Linked DNA regions of Danio rerio. The protein of the gene in region 2 interacts with the protein of the main gene of each other region in a pairwise test. Links are inferred from orthologs where the notes say so. Each region holds a gene or a part of one and is shown on either strand. Other genes may lie near its edges.

What was found.
Region 1: the proteins of mcmbp (region 2) and asl interact in binary tests that used the Homo sapiens proteins (3 or more experiments, as listed by UniProt). The two-hybrid records come from large-scale screens. The link is inferred for Danio rerio from reciprocal best matches to the Homo sapiens genes MCMBP and ASL.

The regions. Positions count from the first base shown.
Region 1 is NC_133196.1:33,927,389-33,930,555, reverse strand, and holds part of asl (argininosuccinate lyase), read right to left. Parts: intron 542-3,167; coding exon 482-541; intron 396-481; coding exon 312-395; intron 83-311; coding exon 2-82; intron 1-1.
Region 2 is NC_133188.1:28,759,997-28,763,836, forward strand, and holds part of mcmbp (mini-chromosome maintenance complex-binding protein), read right to left. Parts: coding exon 3,756-3,840; intron 3,653-3,755; coding exon 3,498-3,652; intron 3,257-3,497; coding exon 3,159-3,256; intron 3,070-3,158; coding exon 2,900-3,069; intron 1,634-2,899; coding exon 1,510-1,633; intron 1,092-1,509; coding exon 974-1,091; intron 860-973; coding exon 694-859; intron 1-693. UniProt on the Homo sapiens protein: Associated component of the MCM complex that acts as a regulator of DNA replication.

The DNA.
Region 1 (3,167 bases), on a different chromosome or scaffold from region 2:
CTCCTTTTCTGACCAGATGATAGGCGAGATCAGTGGCCAGCATATCTGGACTGAGGGCTTCTTCCATCTTTGCTTGATTGACCTAAAAAAAAAATAGAAAAATATAACATACTGCAAGCAGAATCTACAATTAATAGAAAAACTTCTCCTTTCACTGCTTAAATTTCACCCTAAAATTGGATTACTACACGTCCAACAGGTTTACATCTCATTCCACTTCATTTACTATTTAACCAAAGTAACATTTTTGCTTTTGATTACCATTGTTCATGATAAAACTGCATTAACTTGTGATGTAACCCGTCTCTCACCTTTAGAGTTGAGATGACGCCTGTCGCCACCTGCAGCACAGCGTGTACAGTATCATATGTATCAAACATGGCTTCTTTATCCTCCTGCAGTGATGAAATCTTGAATTAGGGAATGTTTTCATTTTTAAAGGTTACATTTGACATTTTCTTCCTGTAGTTTGTGGATTTACCTGTAAGTCTTTGTTGTACGTGCTTGGTAAGCCTTTGAGTGTCATCAGAAAGCCTGCACACTGAATTAAAATGAGATTTGATTTGAGTAAGTCTCAATGTTTTTGTGTATAAATATTAAAAATGTAACTTTTAAATGTAAATTCTAAATGTGAACTATAAATAAATATAGTTTATAAAATCTCTAGCTATTAATACATCAGTGGATGTACTGACGTTAAAGCTGATTGTGTTTTAGATACAATGATGCATTGACTGCCACCATTTATCAATTGATTATTGTTTTAATTCACAACCATCAACTTATTGAATACTGCATGAAAAAGAACAATTTAGTTTAGTCAATGTTTGATGGCATCTACCGAAACGAGGATGTTATTAAATAGGCTACATTTTATACAGAGTTATTATCAGAGAAATTCTGTGGTTTTAGCAGTGGTGGAAAGAGTGCTGAAAAATCATTTTCAAGTAAAAGTACCATTACTTGTCTAAAAATGTAGTGCAAGTAGAGTAAAAGTATCTGTTGTAAATATTACTCAAAGTATGAGTAAATAGTAGACCTTTCAAAACATTTCAGGAGTAGTGAGTAGTGAGTAGTGAGTATTACGCGGTAAAAAGCTGATGCGTTTACATGTAATTTGTGGATGTGTGTAAACGTAACATTCTGTAGTGCAGTGGTTCTCAAACTGTGGTACGTGTACCACTAGTGGTACGCAGGCTTACTTCTAGTGGTATGCTGAGGAATTGCTGAGTAATGAATGAAAAAATTTATAAAATTTTGGCTGTTCTCTAAGACCTATGATCAAAGCCCTGTGCTTAAAATGTTTACTTTAGTGTATTGCGTCTTCAGCTGCTAAAAATCAATCCAATTGGCGCAGAACTAGAGAAAGAGGTGCGTGGTGCTTGAAGAGCAGATATGTGATAAAGCAGTGGTACCAGGGCACACAAAAAAAATCATTAATTATTTCCATTTTATATATTATCTAAGTCTGTCCGATCATTTATTTTGAAAATTCTTTTGTTTTGGAAAAATTGCCGTGTTCTCCTTTTACATCTTGATCACTTTTTAATAATGTTTTTAATATGCCAAAATTTTAACCACAGGCTAGCAAAATGAGTAAGAACTGCCAACGAATGGATGCGCAACCCATTTGTCAACAAATCAGGTAAATCCAGCATGAATGTGCAAGAATATCAACTGCTGTAGATCGCAAATGATGGCGGCTGTTCACATATCGTGTCATTTCCACCTGCAAGTTTGTTATTTATAATGAAGGCGACAGCATCACAATGCGCTTGCGTATTCCAGTCGTAACATGTTGAAAACATCTTAACTTTTCAGAATGCCACACCATGAGTCACGTGACAAGAACTGACTGATTGGCTTCATATTTTATAATTTCGGTAGACTAATTATCTCAAACTAAGACAAACACAGAACACAGAAACACTGCAGTGCTATTTAACTTTCTCCATAAATAAAACTTGTATCAAAGTGGAATAAAGTTTTGTCAGCTTGACATCCTCTGAGAAAAACGGGTTCTCAAGCAATCTACATACAAGTTAATGTTTGGATTTCAAAAAGTTTTACAAATATGTCATATGTGCATACAACACATATTTCAAAAATTATTTAAAAAAATTATAAATATGAATATAAATATGACTGTCTCGTTTTCGAACTGTGCAGTGCTGTAGCTGCTTAATTTGGCCAACTACACTACTTTCACACTACACTTTATTTCAATACTGGTCATTATGGTGGTACTTGGAGAGGCAATTTTTTTCTTAGGTGGTACTTGGTGAAAAAAGTTTGAGAACCACTGCTGTAGTGCATTTAGTTATTGCCCAGCAGGCACACAATGTCATAAGATGTCAATAATAGGTTAGATTTAGGTTGTGATGTCAGGTGACCAAAATTCAAAGTCTTGCCAGCGTCAAAGGACAACGTTATTTTGAGATCCAATTTGATGTCAAATGATGTCGATATTTGGTCGATTTTAGGTTGTGTTAGAAAGTGACCAAAATCCAACGTCGAGCCAACATCTTAAACCAATGTCATGTTGACATCAAATACTGACTTTTCTTCATCAGCTATGGCAAACAAAATCCAACATCTGATAGACGTCATAGTGGTAACGTCCACACAACATCAAGCTGTAACATCATTAGACGTTGATATTTGGTTGATTTTAGGTTGGACATTGATAGCGGCCTGACATTGGGTTCTGATGTCAACCTGGTTTTTATATCCAAACAAAATGCAACGTCCCCACAAGATGCTGAAATTTTGTGCATGCAGGGTGTTTAAGGCCATTTCGGTCATTATACAGTAAACATCTGTCATCTTCTCATCAGTGACATGCAAATGTACTAGTAAAAGTACACAGTTTTAAAACTACTTAATAAATTGCAATTCCTGAGAACAAAAATACTCAATTACAGAAGTTGGAGAATTTGTCATTTGTTTCTATTCATATGATGGACAGTGTGCTGGTTCATCCCTCTGTTAGTGGTAAGGCCATGCAATGTACGATGCCATAATGAGTAATGAATAAACGAATGAAAATACAAAGACCTATCCATATACACATATAATGTAATGCTGTACAATAACGTGTCATTTGTTTGTTTCGGTTGTTTTCATTTGAATCATTTCATGATAATGCGATTGTGTGTTTTGTCAGC
Region 2 (3,840 bases):
TTTACTGAACAAAACTTGTCAAGGAAATATGAGGGCATAAAATAAACAAATAAAATAATCATTTATTAATCGCAAATCGAGTTAAAATCTTCAATAAATTGAGATTTTGATTTTAGGCCAAATAGCCCAGCCCTACATTTTATTCATTTTTGTTAAGACATTTTGCTAAGACTTAAAAGTCTGTTGCATCAAGTTTCCCCTACAACCATCTTACTTTTTACACACTGTTGCTGACAAAAGAAAATATTGACATTCATTTTAACTGTTTACACCGCACACTAGTGGGCAGAGTCAGTGCAAACAGCCTCTGCCAGTAAGAGTGTAAACAAACACTCCAAACAATGCCACTAGAGCTACAATGTGCAAACAAATATTTCTGCTTCAATTTCATACCTAATATATATCAGTGCAGCTTTTATAAAGCTAATAGTCTCATAACATGCTTTTCTGTAGGATTCATAAAACATGTGCATCACAACATGGAGCATGCAATATATATTTTTAAATCAACATCAACTCTTTTTAATTAATTCTTTCAAACTGAGAACAGCTGGATTGACTGAAGTGTTTATATGAAGTCTCTTCAGTCTGACTGAGTCATGCAAATTATTAAAGACTGATAAAGCGGATTAAACTAATGTGGCCTCAGACGTTTGGACTCCTACTGTATTCTGCGGTAATCAGTGCTCTCACCTGTGGAGTCCAGTTGGCCCTGCTCCAACTGCGTCTCATCCAGAAACAATGATGTGTTTTTGGCCAGCTGAAGAGTCCCGCTCACTAGACGGTTAGCGGTGTAGTCTTTCCGAGGCACCATGCGCTGGGTGTTCATATTATGCAGGCTCATTGATAGTCGGTATGACTAGCAAAAAAAGGGGAATCATGTTTAAAAAGTAGTAGTGTTGCTTGTCGTATATAATCAATTGTATCTATAATAGAGGTAATGCAAGAAAGATCTACAATGTAGATGACTTACAGATGGCACAAGCTGTTGGATGACTTTGAAGAGATGCTCTGTGAATGGAGAGCTGAGAGGACAGCCACTGAGATTCAATGTGAATTTGCCCAAAGGAAGAACATCCCGTCTGCTGTATCTGTAAAAAAAAAAGACATAGTAAATCTTTATGAATCGTAGTCTGAAGGGCTGTGGGTTACAAGGTTTGTGTAGAAAACATTTCACTTTTCTTGAAGCTGAAAATCATCTTAAAACGTCTTTAAGGACTTTAAGGAACATCCCAAAACAAAATATGCTATATAAATTACTAGTCAAGTCCGAAATCATCCATACCTCAGGAAAATTCTTACTTAAAGTTACTTTTATTCAACCAGCAAATTATATTTGCTGGTTTCTTCCAAAAGATAATATGATGATGTAGGCATCATTGTGGAAAAAAAATCATTCTTATTTGCATTTATTTTATTTTCATTAGAATACAAGTCGGAATTTGCAGAATAGTATGCATGCATAAGGCGCTCAACAAAGCCACTCAGAATAAACAAAAAGAAACATACACATTGGAGATGAGATGGAGAATGAGGAACTCTGCAGCAAGTGAATCTCCCATCAGGATATGTGTAAAGAATGTGAGCAGCTCTGCTCGGACTGAAGCCAGCTCGCCAAGAACACAACTCAAATCTGGAGAATGTACACACACAAAAAAGCCATCATTTGGACTTGAAACAGGATTGTCAACAGCTGATACTAATTCTTCTCACTATCTGGTCATCATTTTGTAATATATTTACAATGGTAACATGTACAATGCGCGCGCACACACACACACACACACACACACACACACACACACACACACACACACACACACACACACACACTTACACAATTACTTAATACTATAATAATCCACACTCACTGACCACTTTATTATGTATTACTGTTCAAATACTCGTTAATACAAATCTCTAATCAGCCAATCACATAGCAGCAACTTCATTGATTAGGCTTGTAGACATGCTCAAGATGATTTTCAGAAGTTGAAAGAAATGTGATTTAGGGGACTAGGAACTTTGCACTGTTGCCTATACCAGATTGCCACACAACTATCTCTAGCCACTCCTCAGCTACTGATGAGAAATGTCTGGACCTCTATGCCGACCACAATGTGGTCATTTCAAATGCCTTTTAATTGCAGTGGTAGAAAAATGGTTTGTGGCTGCAGCTGACTATTTAAATATAGCAGGTTTGGTGTCTCATGACCACAAAAGTGATCAATTAGTGATCAGTAGTGTGTATACGTCACATCTCAGTGATGGTACAGCTTGCTTGAAACCTCACCCGAGATGGTACTTTTTTTAGTACCAGGTAGATTGCAGTGAAAAAGCCCCCAGAAGTGAGCCATAGTGTGCTACATCTTGCAATGAAAAAAGTGCCTGATAAGTCCTAATACTAAACTCAAATTGAAGGATATTGTTTCATCAAGAGTTGATTGAAGAATTTTAGGGTCACTGAGTTGTTTGTAAATGGAATAATCTACCAATTATCATAAGACAGAGTCCAAGTTCAAGCTGCATTTGAAATGCTGGTTAAAATGCTTCAGGTGTGTGACCATTAAGTGTGTGTTTTATTATGATATTTTGATAATGTTTTTGTTATATAATTTGTATTTTCCTGCCCAGAATTAGCTATGTAGCTAATTCTGGGCAGGAAAATACAAATTATATAACAAAAACATTATCAAAATATCATAATAAAACACAGCTATGTAGCTATGTAGCTAATTCTGGGGCAGTTTTTTGATTGTCCACAATCCCTGTTAAATAAAGAATTTAAATAAAAATGTCAACTTAAACACAAGCAAGGTGTAAATAATAAAGTGACTGTGGTGAGTGTATAAATTTCACTAAAATGAGCAAATCCCAAATCACACAAGTAATATCTTACAGTCTGCGTTATTCTCCAGTGGACTAGAGGGCAGCAGTGGGTTGTTGTGCGCTAGAGGTTGAGCATACAGCATGTGCAGTCGTGGTACAAGTGACGCTGGTGGGCTGTGAACTCTCTGTTCCTCCATAGTCTCCATGCCTTCTGTGGGGTCCAGCAATGAAGATGCCTCTCTGAAAATATGACAAACATTATATTACAGTTTAACTGCAGAGAACCTCCTATAGCAATTACAACCATCTCAAAAAAGGCTCCAGATTACCTCTCATCTGCAATCACGCTCAAGGCTGGGTCCACAGAGAGGATACCAAATACCTCCAACATGTCATTCAGCTTGAAACTGTCCCAGTCCTCATACACCTGCCAATTACAGAAGACGCTAGATTTATATGACTGTCTGTGTAGGTGGAGAACAATCCAATGGTGCGAACCATCATATTATTGCAAGTAAATTACTATGTTAACATGTGGCTGCTCAAGACAGCTTGATTCTGAAAGGCTTGAGTCTGAAAGCAGCGCATTAAAAACGACAACCTATGACAAAAATAATTTAATTGAGCGTGTGTCAAGACAATGGATTAAGATGAAAGAACAGTTAAACCTTAACAAGACAGGCTGGGCCCTTTTCACCAGGCAAAGGGAAGTTGAGATCCAGGCTGGATGTGCAGTGTGATGAAGACGAGTCCTGACTGGGGGCTTCGGTCTCTTGACGCTTCGGCTCAGTGTTGCCGTGAGACTCAGAAGAGCTTTGAGCTCCTGTTCAATGACAAACCTTTTAGTCCTAAACATTTATATATCATTGGTAGACCAAAACAGTCTACATGCTCACAGACTGATAAGGTTAATTATTCTTTCTTACCTTGGCTGATATCTTTGGTCTGTTGGCACTGCGTGTCCATCTCATCGTCTTCTTCATAGCTGCGCTTATGCCTGTTGGGGACGTA